3 linked regions of the Oryzias latipes genome follow. The protein of the gene in region 3 binds, or shares a complex with, the protein of the main gene of each other region. Links are inferred from orthologs where the notes say so. Each region holds a gene or a part of one and is shown on either strand. Other genes may lie near its edges. The genes, in order: ropporin-1-like protein, DPY30 domain-containing protein 1 and lrrc23.

The links.
Region 1: lrrc23 (region 3) and ropporin-1-like protein share a complex: the UniProt entries of both Homo sapiens proteins name them as parts of the axonemal radial spoke complex. The link is inferred for Oryzias latipes from reciprocal best matches to the Homo sapiens genes LRRC23 and ROPN1L.
Region 2: lrrc23 (region 3) and DPY30 domain-containing protein 1 share a complex: the UniProt entries of both Homo sapiens proteins name them as parts of the axonemal radial spoke complex. The link is inferred for Oryzias latipes from reciprocal best matches to the Homo sapiens genes LRRC23 and DYDC1.

What each region holds. Positions count from the first base shown.
Region 1 is NC_019878.2:13,557,589-13,562,186, forward strand, and holds the start of ropporin-1-like protein, read right to left. Parts: upstream 3,119-4,598; 5' UTR 2,966-3,118; intron 2,706-2,965; 5' UTR 2,666-2,705; coding exon 2,535-2,665; intron 1-2,534. UniProt on the Homo sapiens protein: Functions as part of axonemal radial spoke complexes that play an important part in the motility of sperm and cilia. Important for male fertility.
Region 2 is NC_019877.2:16,026,303-16,031,126, reverse strand, and holds the start of DPY30 domain-containing protein 1, read left to right. Parts: upstream 1-1,929; 5' UTR 1,930-1,997; exon of another isoform or gene 1,998-2,057; intron 2,058-2,116; 5' UTR 2,117-2,140; coding exon 2,141-2,290; intron 2,291-2,866; coding exon 2,867-2,986; intron 2,987-4,745; coding exon 4,746-4,824. UniProt on the Homo sapiens protein: Functions as part of axonemal radial spoke complexes that play an important part in the motility of sperm and cilia. Plays a crucial role during acrosome biogenesis.
Region 3 is NC_019865.2:13,825,727-13,830,457, reverse strand, and holds lrrc23 (leucine-rich repeat-containing protein 23), read right to left. Parts: upstream 2,879-4,731; 5' UTR 2,614-2,878; coding exon 2,539-2,613; intron 2,375-2,538; coding exon 2,265-2,374; intron 2,183-2,264; coding exon 2,062-2,182; intron 1,851-2,061; coding exon 1,709-1,850; intron 1,528-1,708; coding exon 1,397-1,527; intron 1,241-1,396; coding exon 1,104-1,240; intron 1,020-1,103; coding exon 815-1,019; intron 722-814; coding exon 689-721; 3' UTR 547-688; downstream 1-546. Other genes in the region: RNA-binding protein 10, read right to left, coding at 3,627-3,717, 3,810-3,853, 3,947-3,994, 4,172-4,363, 4,507-4,563, 4,669-4,731. UniProt on the Homo sapiens protein: Essential for sperm motility and male fertility. Plays an important role in the proper assembly of the third radial spoke (RS3) head and the bridge structure between RS2 and RS3 in the sperm flagella.

The sequences.
Region 1 (4,598 bases), on a different chromosome or scaffold from region 3:
CACAGGTTGGCTGTGAGTTAGAAGTGAAGGAGAGATTCTGGAGTGAGTTGGATGAGGTCATAGAGAGTATCCCCAGAGGAGAGAGAGTTGTTATTGGAGCAGACTTTAATGGACATGTTGGTGAGGGCAACAGAGGTGATGAGGAGGTGATGGGCAGGTTTGGTGTGAAGGAAAGGAATCTGGAGGGACAGATGGTGGTGGACTTTGCGAAGAGGATGGAAATGGCTGTAGTCAACACTTACTTCCAGAAGAGAGAGGAACATAGAGTGACATACAGAAGTGGAGGTAGGAGTACTCAGGTGGACTACATCCTATGTAGACGAGGTCATTTGAGAGAGGTTAACGACTGCAAAGTGGTGGTAGGAGAGAGTGTAGCCAGACAGCACCGCATGGTGGTGTGTAAAATGACTCTGGAGGTCAGGAAGAAGAAGAGAGGGAAAACAGAAAAGAAGACCAAGTGGTGGAAGCTACAGAATGAAGAAACTTGTGAGGAATTTAGGCAGAAGTTGAGACAGGTCCTGGGTGGTCAGGATGAGCTTCCAGATGACTGGGAAACTACAGCAGAAATTATCAGGGAAACAGGTAGGAAGGTGCTAGGTGTGTCATCTGGAAAGAGGAAAGACGGTAAAGAGACTTGGTGGTGGAATGAGGAAGTACAGGAATGCGTCCAGAGGAAGAGGTTGGCTAAAAGGAAGTGGGATGTAGAAAGGACTGAGGAAGGTAGACAGGAGTACAAGGAAGCGCAGCGTAGAGTGAAGAGAGAGGTGGCAAAGGCCAAACAGAAGGCTTACGATGAGCTATATGACAGGTTAGACACAAAGGAAGGAGAGAAGGACTTGTACAGGCTAGCCAGACAGAGAGACAGAGATGGGAAGGACGTGCAACAGATAAGGGTGATTAAGGACAGAGATGGAAAGGTGCTAACAACTCAGGAGAGTGTACAAAAAAGATGGAAGGAGTATTTTGAGGAGCTGATGAACGTGGAAAATGACAGGGAAAGAAGGGAGGAAGATGTGGTTGTTGTGGAGCAGGAAGTAGCAGAGATTGAAAAGGATGAGGTTAGGAAGGCTCTGAAAAGGATGAAGAGCGGAAAGGCCGTTGGTCCTGATGACGTACCTGTGGAGGTATGGAAGTGCCTAGGAGAGACAGCAGTGGGATTTCTAACAAGGTTGTTCAATAGGATTTTAGAGAGTGAGAAGATGCCTGAGGAATGGAGGAGAAGCGTTCTGGTTCCGATCTTTAAGAACAAGGGTGACACGCAGAACTGCAGCAACTATAGAGGAATAAAGTTGATGAGCCACACAATGAAGCTGTGGGAAAGAGTAGTGGAAGCCAGGCTTAGGAAGAAGGTGGAGATTTGTGAGCAGCAGTATGGTTTCATGCCCCGTAAGAGCACCACTGATGCCATTTTTGCTTTGAGAATGTTGATGGAAAAGTACAGAGAAGGTCAGAAGGAGCTGCATTGTGTGTTCGTAGATTTAGAGAAGGCGTATGACAGGGTGCCGAGGGAGGAGCTGTGGTACTGTATGAGGTCGTCTGGAGTGGCAGAGAAGTATGTCAGAGTAGTTCAGGACATGTATGAGAGAAGTATGACGGTGGTGAGATGTGCTGTAGGTCAGACAGAGGAGTTCAAGGTGGAGGTGGGACTACACCAAGGATCAGCTTTGAGTCCTTTTTTGTTTGCTATGCTGATGGACAGGCTGACAGACGAGGTAAGACAGGAATCTCCCTGGACAATGATGTTTGCGGATGACATTGTAATTTGCAGTTAGAGTAGAGAGCAGGTGGAGGAACAGCTAGAGAGGTGGAGGTTTGCTCTGGAAAGAAGAGGCATGAAGGTCAGTCGTAGTAAGACAGAATACATGTGTCTGAACGAGAGGGATCAAGGTAGAAGCGTTAGGTTACAGGGGGATGAGGTGAAGAAGGTGCAGGAGTTTAAGTATTTGGGGTCAACAGTTCAGTGTGATGGGGAGTGTGGAAAAGAGGTGAAGAGGCGAGTGCAGGCAGGTTGGAGCGGGTGGAGGAAAGTGTCAGGAGTGTTGTGTGACAGAAGAGTGTCAGCAAGACTCAAAGGAAAGGTGTACAAGACAGTGGTGAGACCAGCTCTGCTCTATGGGTTAGAGACGGTAGCAGTGAGACAGAGACAAGAGGCTGAGATGGAGGTAGCGGAGATGAAGATGTTGAGGTTCTCCTTAGGAGTGACCAGGTTAGACAGGATAAGGAACGAGTACATCAGAGGGACGGCTCATGTTGTCTGTGTTAGGGACAAAGTCAGAGAAGCCAGACTGAGATGGTTTGGACATGTTCAGAGGAGGGATAGTGGATATATTGGTAGAAGGATGTTGGAGATGGAGCTGCCTGGCAGGAGGGCGAGAGGACGGCCAAAGAGGAGATACATGGATGTCTTAACAGAGGACATGAAGTTGGCTAATGTTAGGGTAGAAGATGTCCATGATAGAGTGAGGTGGAAAAGGATGATTCGCTGTGGCGACCCCTGATGGGAAAAGCCGAAAGAGAAAGAAGAAGAAACTCACGCTGCACTCCAGGCAAGCAAGTCCATGGGCTGCGTTCGGATGGCTGCTTTGGCGAAATTTTTGAGGATATCTGGTAGTTCTGGTGGAATGTTGATCTGCTCGGCACAGTACAGTGTGTCTGGAAGGGGCATGGCTGAAATACGTGCACTGTAGTTTGTCGGCCAGCAAGTACTAAACAAAAATAAGAAATTAATTGTATTAGTAATTTTTAGTTAGTTTAGTAGTTTGGTATGAATAACCCATTTATTTCCCTTCCAAATAAAAACATTGCATTAAACAAACAATAATTGAAGTGTTAACAAAATGCAGAAATCCCTTACTGACTACGTCACGACATCTTTGCAACATTTAGCATGTGCGTGCATCACACATACGTTTAAATTAAGTGATAATTATTTATAGTGCTGAGAAAAACAATCATATTACGTTACCTGGAAAAATATGTAGACTGTAAATAGTAATAAGCAAAAAATGCCTTAAAATGTTCACCAAAAAATCGTAATTGCTGTCCTTCTGATTTACGCCACAATTCGTGTCCGTAAACTGACAGTTGTATATTACCGTCGCATGGCAACAGAATTCTTCTTCTGTCGCTGAGGTCAATGGAGCCGCATGTGCATATCGCCCCCTGCTGTTTTAGAAATGTTACTACAGAATGTCATTGACCCTTGTGCTATCCTAGGCACTTTACCATTGGGAGTTGGGTCATCTAGACCCACTAGACCAGGGGTCGGGAACCTTTTTGGCCAAGAGAGCCATAAACGCCACATATTTTGAAATGTAATTTCGAAAGAGCCATACAATAATGTAGTGTCCCTTTCCCACACTGAGGCACGGAGACTTAACCTCTTTTAAGGTTCTTTATTCGGGTTACTGCAGACCGCGACAAACGCCGAACAATTAATTCAGCAACTCCTGAATCTCTCCCGCCGAGACGAGACGAGAGCGCGTCTCCCAACTTTATATTCCCCTGCTCCCGCTGCAGCCCTCCCCTTTCCCTTATTCGGCCCATAGCTGAACCCCATTGGTCCAAACTACCTAACAACAGGCTGAGCGACAGAACTGAGAGCCAATCAGCTCTCTGCTTGATGCGGTCAATGAACTCCAGAACTTTTAACGCGGCCCAACAGCCATCCAACTCAGTCCGCGACAATATGTTTAAAACTAAAATACAAGTGAATGTGTGCATTTGATGTAATTTCAACCTTTTTAAAGTACAATAAGTCTGTGGATTCTTTTTAATAACATTGTTATGCTGTTTCTAATAAATGATGAGTATTTCTCGTGGTAGTTTTGCTGATGGTCTAGTCTGGTTTACGTGGTGAGTTTCTGCTTCATGCAGGCGTTGAGACTTTAAACGTGATCTTAGGTTGGTATGAATGTTTTGTAGATGTGAGACAGACTGCTCACATGCGGACCTGGAGCCAAACACACACTCACACGCTGCAGTGAGTGACAGGCAGTGGGTTTTACCTATTTACAATCCCTGCGCGATTCACCTGCTGCCTGTCCCCACAACACCTCAGCCCCACCCTCTGCTTTCTCCCTCACACATCCCGTCCCCGCAACTGCGCGCTCTTTCTCAGAGACGGGAGCGCGCAGTTTTAGGCACGGCAATTCACAGGTTTCCGGGTGGTACAAACTCTGTGAATTAATAGACAATTTTAAACTTATACTAGTGCTGGCGCAGGAGCCAGTTTAGCTCATGCTGGTTTGCGGCGCCTTCCATCCGTGAAACCCGAGTTCGACTCCGGGCTGCTCCCTGTTCCCTTCTCTACCTCTGCTGGTTCCAAGCCCAGTTTGAGAAGGTTGCGTCAGGAAGGGCATCCGGCGTAAAACATTGCCAAATTTACCATGACCCCTGATGGGAGAAGCCGAAAGTGGAAGAAGACTAGTGCTGGCGCAGATTTGTCTCTCTAAGCACCGCTACTACTGCGCGCCTCTGCCATCGCATCGCGCACGAGAAGGACTGGTCTAATGAAGAAAAAAAATTTGAATTAAAGATTTGTCTGCGAGCCACATGTGACCATCAAAAGAGCCATATATGGCTCGCGAGCCTTAGGT
Region 2 (4,824 bases), on a different chromosome or scaffold from region 3:
CATAAAAGAGAAGGTTAAAATAAAGACAGTTGGACCACACTCCAGCACCGCATGAGGGAGGCTGCCTCCAGGATCGCCTCGGCCCCACTGCACCGGTGGGTAGCCACGACGACCACCACCAAGGGAGATCTCTAATCCAAACCCTCACCAGGAGTACCTGCTCAGGGCCCAAATTCACACAAACACACCACAACCCAAACAGTGATTAAAAGAAAATACAAAACAGAAGAGGTGCAACTGAGCAGGACACCACTAATTTGTAGGCCGGAAATGGGGGGGGGGGGGAAATCCCCCTTACACAATACTACACATGGCACCCACCAGCTACCGTAAGGATAAAGGGAGGAGGCAGCCACCTCCAGCCAGGTCCAACCACCAAGAGACTAAAATGAGCAAACAGTTTAAAAAAATGGATAAGAGCAAGGGTGTCAAGCTTGATTTAAACATTAAAAACACTAAGCAAAACAGCAGTGGCAACTCTGCTGGAAAAAGAAAAATAAGTTAGTTCTCCCTGGGACAAATACATGTTTACAAACCCTTATGTTACCGCTCATGCCCCAGGGTCAGAACTCATGCCACCACCTGTTAATATAAATAGAATTTAAAATGTTGCAAACTCAAATGCTTAAAAAACTTTTGTAAAAGGACTCAAATGATTAAGCTTTAGCTTAAAAAAAAAAAAAAAAAAAAAAAAAAAAAAAAAAAAGCCCACATGTCAAGCTCACCCACCAAGGCCAAACCAGCATCTAGGTGGAACTCACAGCTGCTATTTATCAGCCTCATGAGCCAATCACAGCTCAACAGACAGGTGCTGGCCATGAATATTAACCTATGGAACACCACGAGGGACAAACTACCACCCACAGCCCTGTCTGTCATATAACGATAAAACAGGGATAAAGAGGGAGTTTCCAACTGAGGTCTGTTTCTAACAGTTTGTTTAAAACAAGGTTTTTTTTTATAATGAGACTGCCACTCTGTAAATAACAGAACCAAAAAAAAATCCAAACAATTGCAAAAATCCCAGTGCAAGAAATTGTAATGTAATATGGAGGGGAAAAAGATGAAAAATATATATAAGACATTCTAGACATGTATCTTTCTCAGTTATTATAAGTGGCAATTTCTCCCATTTTTCTACTTAAACATATTACCAAATGGCCCACTTTTTAAGGACAGAACAGTTTATCATAACAGTAGATAAAGCCATTGACTGTACAATAGGACATTATGTTTTAATATATCTATTATGCAGTCAGTAAGACTAACAGGGTCTGCGCCACCTAGTGGTAAAAATTTCGTAAAAATGCACAAATCACATTTTTCTTTGAGTGTGAATATAGAATCTTCCAACAATTTTATTTCTGCTTTTATTAAATAACTATGTAGTAGCATCTGCACCATTTAGATTAAGATAACTATTAGTTTTATGAATTCCTTTTTTAACATAGTCTTTTGAATTATTCCTCCCCCAATTTCTGACATTCTGTGACTGATGTCTCTTTCTGCTTCATAACACATTGAAGCAAAACTTGTAAAGATGCAAAAGAATTTTAATATTGTTTTATTGAGTTTAACTACTGGAAAGCAATTTAAAACACATCTCAAAATGATCACTTTCTCGTCAAAATATTTAATCTGTTTCACAAATACTATTTTGTGCGTCTGTGTATGGGTGTGTGTATGAATGACAATGAGGTTTTTTCACAAATATTTCTTTTTGTCTGTAGTTTTTTTTGGGGGTGTTATTAATATAATTGAGGATTATTATTATTATTATTATTATTATTATTATTATTATTATTATTATTATTATAAAAATCATCATCACCATCATCATATTTATAGTAGTAATAACAATGCCTGAAACAACCAATGGTTGCATTATAGAAATGACATCGAATACAAAGCGGAACTAAAAAACGGTTGGGAGACTTTAAACTGTGTGGGACCGTTACCACGGAGATGCAACCGTCCGCATAAAACAGTAAAATACGGTAATTTCCGTGTTAATTTTGGCTAATTTGTGCAGGTTTTATCCATAAAATCGCTTTCAGGTCATTTTTGTTCGTCATTATTGCCTTAATAGCTCCGAGCCTCCATATTTGCTCTGTAGATAAACAATCAGAAAACGTGTAGCATGATGGATTCGGAGTATCTTAATAAACATCTGGGGAAATGTTTGGCTGAAGGACTTGCTGAAGTGGTTGAACGGAAACCCGTGGACCCTATCCTTTATTTGGCCCACTGGCTGTACAAGTATAACTCAAATACGCTGTACGAGAAGAAGGTGAGTCGTTTTGTTGTTTTCACCAGCAGGGGGCACTAAAGGATGCAAACACAAAAGTTGTTGATTTACAGTGTTTTTAAGCATTACGTGGTTTACTTTTCCGTGTTTTCCATTTACAAAACGCTATAAAAACATAAAGTGATTGCATATATCATAATTTTTTTGAAACGTTGTCTTGCAAATGCAGTGCTGAATTAGAAACTATTAGAAAAGTGTGTAAACACACCAACCATAGTGTCATTTTTTTTTTAAAATGATGGATCTAGATTTTGCACTCCAGCTGCTTCTGATTATACCCATGTTGTTGCATGCCGTCAAACAGGTTTTAAGAGGATAACAGTGTTAGAGCACGTAAACTCATTATGCTGCAGGATGTAAAATAAGTAGGGCCTCAACAACAAAGACTCACCTTTTACCTTTAACACAGAAACTGTCTGTACCTCTACTGACACACAGCTGAGCCCTACTTAAAACAAAATGAAAGTTTAAACATTTTATGGTTTATATAAGATGTATACTTGTAAACTTTAGACTTGTAAGCTTAGATTTGTTCCTGTATCACCTTTGTATTTGCAGAAGAAGGCAAGTCTGGCTCTGCTGGATCAAGATCAGGAAAAAAGCAGCCAAGAAGCATCACATCAGGAAAATCTCACAGAAGAGGAGCAGATCAGTAATGCATCAAAAGGCACAGAGAAAGTACTTTCTCACTTTCTATTGCTAACTTAAAAGTATTTGATTTTAAACATCCTGAATGCATAGCTGACATTTTTAAAGACCTACTCTAACCATCTTTTGATCTATTTTCACAGAATTCCCAGTGGTCTTGTAATTCAAATTCAACTTTACTTGTGCACCACTTTTTCGACTACAAAGCCTCTCAAAGTGCTTTCCATAATAAAATAGATAATTGTAAGATAAAAAACAGTAGTTAAAATAGCAAACATAGTAAAAATAATAATGATAAAATAAAATTAACAACATTAAAACACATACAGACCCAAAACATACACATCCCACAGGTACAATCAAAATGAAGCGCATCAATTGCTGATAAAATTTATAAAATCTAATGAAAACATGTTGACAAGTAAAAACTACATAAAGGCTTTACTAAAAAAATGAGTTTTAATTTTTTTCTTAAAAACCTCCACAGTGGATGAAGCCCTCACCTGCCTGAGGAGACGTTCCACATGGAAGGCCCACAGTACTGAAATCAGGCCTCGTCGTGGGTTTTTGTTCTGACTTTTGGGACCACCAGCACACCTCCACCTGTGGATCTAGGAGGGTCATAAACTAAAAGTAAATCTAATAAAAAAATGAGGGGCCAACTCCATTTAAACTTTTAAAAACAAATGAAAAGAACTTTAGAATCAATCCTAAAGCTGACTGGGACCCAGTGGAAAGATTTCAAAATATTTCTTTATTTTTTTTCTTTAGCACTGCAATAGCCTGGTTTGTTTAGTCACAGGAACAATTCAAGCTGGCCATCTCACCATTTGCAGGAAACGTTCCCAGCTAGGTTAATTCACAGCTTTGCTGGGCTCAGGTGAACGTCGCGTCTGCGACTATGATTGTGCCGTATCAATCAATTATGAAGATTTTAGTCAAAAATCTAAAATCTGTGGTTTTCCGGGACATAGTTTCTACAGAGCAGTAGTAGTTCATCAGAAATATGCCTCTGATTCGTGGGTGGTTTGACCCCTTCCCCCCTTACCGGTACCAGTATTTTGAAACCCTCTCCCGTTAGCTTACAGCCCCTCACACCCACCTAACATGACTGGTGCAACAGAAATGGTGAGCAATACCGGAGCTGTTCAGATGTACAGTTTTGAACCACATGCCAGCTTGGACGAAGAAAACGCCGACGTACCTGGATACATAACAAATATGATCTTTTTCAAACTGCATTTTTTTGTTTGCTCCCAATTAACAACAATTTGAAAAAAGAGGTACTTAAAAATACAATTTAGAGCTTAACTTTCTTTTCATATTATGTCCGCCATCATGACATCTTTTGAATATCAGGCCATTGTTTTTAACAACATGTTAAAAACACAGTTTTCATCAGAGTGGGTCTTTAAAGGCCTAAAACTTTAACCCCCCTCTGAGGAGCCACAGATTAGCTCAGACACTAGAGACAGACGCTGAGACAGACAGCACTATTCAATAGTTAAGCATCAGGAGGCAAATGGGCAGCGCATGAGGGAGGCTGCTGATAAAATCGACTCCAGATGAGTCACGCACACTGCAGAGACAGAATTAAGGAATCTACTCCAGCGTTACAGGCAGGATCTGCACATTGATTCTTAAAAAATGCTGTATAATACAAGTTTGAAATACATTGCAGTCTGCTTTAATAAAACAAATGCTTTTAATAGTTCTTATGTTGAGCTAAAAGTCCTAAAACTCTTCAAAAAATGTGTTTTTTAAATGTAATTTCTTTACTTTTTCTTAGACTGATGATGTGGAAACTGAGAAACTTGAAGATGTCATCCGGTCCTCGTCAGTGCTCCAGAGTGAAGATGCTCAACCCG
Region 3 (4,731 bases):
GGGACGACTGAAGGGGAGGGAGCAGAAAAAGGCAATCCTATTACGTCAAATCGCGCTTTATTTGAGAGGCTGTTACTTAACTCCTTAACTGTTCATCTTCAAAGACGTATTTAAAGTTTTATCGTTAAATTTCATGTTAGGAAATCTCAATAAATTCCACAGATAACAATAAGACCGGTGACAGATATACCATATGTACACAAATGCATCACGGTGCAGCGTGAAAATGTTATTGAAAACTGTCAAAACTGCAACAAATTAAACATATATATTATAATATAGCTGACATCCATTAAACAGTTAATTAGAACATGCAGGTTATGCATTAATAATGTTTCACATACGTTTTTTTTATGTTACTGTCCCTTTAAGGTCGCAGGTGGACGTCAGCCAACTAGGAAGTGCGGTCAGATTTTGCCCTCTCATTCTTACTCAGGGAAAAATGTATGACAATGCATGGATTATAAACCAGCCCCACCTTTAATCCTGCAACTACATGTTGTGTATGTGATTGTTCTTGTTAAGACAAAAAAAAAAAAAAAACACTTCACAAGGCAATTTTTTTATTGTAACAATTTGGAAAGAAAGCTTTTCTAAAATCAAACTTGATGTGCAATCACGATCATCATCTCTTGAAAGACCTGCTTTTTATGCCCAGCACTTCCTCTCACAAAGATCTTATGAAATCTTATGGCTCAGGTACTTCCTCTTCCTCGAGTTCCTGAAAAGATAGAAATGTCCTTTTTTTAAAAAAAAAAAAAAAAAAGGCCAGAATATGTGATCTGATCACACCACAAAAATATTAAGCATTTACTCTGATTCTCATCTGATTGTCACCCCTCTCCGCAGGTGTCACAGGCTCCTTGTCGAGTCTTTTCAGCTGCGGTAAAAGTGTCAACACATTGGGGCGATAGTCTGCTGTTGCCACCAGCGGGTTCTCAGAAAGAACCAATGCTTGCAGGCTTTTTGCCACAAGGCCAATGCTTTGCAAAGCTTTTTCCTCTGCAATTAAATTGCCTCTAAAAGATGGAAACAAACAGAAAATATGAACTCTTAGAATTTTTGTAGGTACCACAATGGGTCTCTCACCTTCTTACACATACCTGACATTTAGATACTGAAGACACTTCATGTTGGGACTGAGGCCTTCTAGAGTTTCTAATTTATTATCTCGAATATGAAGGATGGCGAGAGACTCTAACTTGTCTAGACCTTCAAGATGCTTGATCCCATTATCAGCCTATGAAAAAGGGGAAAAAAAGGTAATAGCAATTCTAATCAATATTTTGATATATTGTTGTAAGGAATAGTGGTACGGTATTGGAAGAGCATAATTTTAGTGATAAGAACTTTCACAGATATTAGTCATTTTAATAAAATAACAGCTTTTATGTACCAGATATAATCGTTGCAGATTTGGAAGGTTGAGGCCATCAGTGGTTTCCAAATGGTTTCCTCTCAGCTCCAGAGTAAGCAGATTTCCAAAGCAGCTAGTTTGAAAACAATGCAGCGACTGAATTTTGTTTCCTGAAAAAGAGGTCACTGTGTCACTTAAAATCTATACTAGGCTTTAAATGTTTAATATTTCCAAAAATGTGAGATAGAAAGTATTTTACATCGTAAATATAATTTTAAAATATATATATATATATATATAATTTTAAAAATTAGATTATTTTAAATTTTGGAATACAGATTAATCAATAACCTGTAAGATTGAGGCTCTCCAGGGCGGGCCCAACCAGGCCATCGGCATCATTTAACTGATTTGCTGCCATATTTAGCCTTTGCAGATAGATCAGCTCAGCAAACGGTTGTCCTCGGAAGCTCGCCACATCATTTTTGTCAACCTGCAGTTTGTCGATCATTAAGAATGTACAGACAACCCATTATAACTATTGGTGCTGTTTGAAGGACCATTTTAAAACCAGAGGCTCACCACTAAATCCTTTTACCTCTCAATCATAGAGGAAATTAGAAACAATTCAGCAATTAATGTCATTTCAAATGAATGAATCTGCCACAGAAATGATCAAGACAAATCTAAATAAAGTAGGCTACCTTCAGCCACAGGAGCTGCTTTAGGGAGGCCAGAGGAGAAAGATCAGTAAGGCTGTTGTTGGATAAATCCAATAAACGTATGTGAATGTAGCCGCTGATCGCAGCTAGATCATTTAATTTCCTGTGAAGTAGGTAGTAAAGAAAAATCCATTAGAAGCTGATTGGGTTAGTCAGTCCAGTTAAAATGTGTTTTGTCTGCTTACATGTTATTGAGGTTTAATTTAATAAAAGCATGTCCAAGTCTGTCTACTGTCCTGCACAATAATGAAAGTCCCTCTTTTATTATGTCTTTGGTCAATGTGTGTGCTTGAGCCTTTAAAAAAACAAAACAAAAAAGCTTTATTTTAATGAACAGAAGTTTTGAAATTCATTTCAGTAGCTGTCAATGCATTACTGTAGTTTACGAATGAACTTTTTTTTCCTCAGTTTCTGTAAAAATCAATGTGTGTTTTTTTTTTTTAACGGATTTTTGTGTACCTTATCGCCTTCTCCTTTCGCATTAGTTGTTTCCTCCTCATCTTCCAAGTCCGACAGTAGAATTTCTTCCTCCATAGCGGGATTGAACCGACTTTAAGCTAGCCAACAGGCTTCCAGCATTCGGTACGACGATAAGCAATAGTGCAGTTTTACGCGGAAATGAGTGGAAACACGAGCAATTCAAAGGCTCTATTTTCCGATAATATTTAACAAGGATTATGGTTAATTTGGGTATGGATGGTACGAGCTACACCGAACATACCAAATTCTAATAGCGTTACCATGGAAACTCCACAGCAACAACTAACCCCAACTTCGGGTAGGGCCAAACTTAATGACAAAAATTGTGAAATACTAGTAAACAAAAGTAGACGTTGGTCAAAATGTAACATTTTTTTTAATCTATTTTACACTTGCAGTATTTAATTTTTTGTAAGTGAAATTAAAAAGTTAGTTTAGCAACTGCGACTACCAAAAATATGAAATAAAAAAAGTATGTTCATATGTAACCAAAAAAAGAAAACATTGTTTGTAGAAAGCGACTTTTGCAGATACTCAACTTCTGCAAAAGAACGTTTTTTTTTCTGCACAACCAATTAAGTAAGTGATCATATTAAAAAAAAAAAAAAAAAAAAACAACAACACAGACACACAAAAGTGTTTCCGTAAAAACTTCTGAAATATACACAGTTTATGCTGGGACCCATCATTTATTAAATGACAGCATATTCTTAAAAAACAAATAAAACTATATGGTACAGTGACTGAAAATTCTCATTTCATGACATTTAGACCTGTGTAGAACTTTCCTTTTTCTGAAAGTAAGTGATTCTGAATTCACATGTTTAATTCACACAAACTGAAGCAAGAGGAAATCCTAAATCACACAAAAAACAAGCAAAAAGGTGCAATTTGTGCAATATCTTGACATGTACTGCTACAGGATCAGTCCAAAGAGGTGCTATGTTCTTCAGACTCTAGTATCGTCAGACCAAAATATATTTTTCTCTGTCTATGTAATGGGGAAGAGTGAAGTGTTTTGCAGGTGAGCTTGTCCTTTCTGGATCAGGAAATTTACATGTGAGAGGTCACTCTATTTCTGTATTATGCAGTAGAAGACTTCTTTTCACTCCTCCTTGCAACATTCGTGCTCCAAGACTAATGCCGGTGATGCCTTCACTATACAGACAAGGAAAGGATATAAAAAATTAGGCAACACACCTTAAAAAAGTTACATTATTTGTATTAAGTATTGAGCATCACTGACTTACAGAGGGTTAAACTTTCGCTTCCTAGAATCTGGAGGTTCAAGTCTCTGCAATGTCAAAACACAAGTAGAAACTGCATAAAACCACTCAATATTGAATGCATGTATTGTTGTACAATCCATGCACATGAACTGACCAACCTCTCTGCTTACAGCATCCAATTGTTTTTTTCTCTGCTCCAAATTTTGCTGTAAACAAAGATACAGACGCAGGACAAAATGTTCAAACGTGAAAATAAAGATTTTGGTCAATTTCTTTTTCTCATTTAGTACACGAAGACACGTGTAACAGACCAACGCTTTTTGTTGACTGTCTAAAATCTTTTGTTTCACATCTTTATTGGCATTAAAATGGAATAAACGTACCTTATGCAGTTCTGAGAGCTGCTGATGCCTTATGAGCGCCTCTTTGCTTGGAAACTGCCTCCTACATAGCAGACAGGCAAGTTTAACCCAGTCTGTCATTTTTCCCTCCTTATCTTCTTTATCTCCTTCTTCTTCGCTGTCAGTTTCTGCGCTGTAGGCTGGGACCAGGCCGTGCTGTTGAGGAGGCGATTGCTACACAAAGAGTCAAAATCAAGACTTTACGATGATGATGAAGTGCAAAGCAAATACATTGAATCTCTTAACTGTAAAAAACAAAATGACGTTATAAAAAGTATGATTAAACACTAGCAAATATTCTACATCATTGCTCTTACTTCTGTGCTTTGTCGCAGTTGGTCCAGAAAACTTTGAGGCCTTTCTGACAGTGCCCCCTGTAGGACAAAAAAGAAAATGTAAATAACCATCCAGTCTTAAGTCCAAATGCATTGTGACAGACATATCCCCTTAAGCCAAGTGTGTACGTTGGCCTCGTGCACCTTTTTCTCTAGTACAGCGTATCCTGCATCTGCACTTGCAGACTCCCTCTGATCATCCAAGCG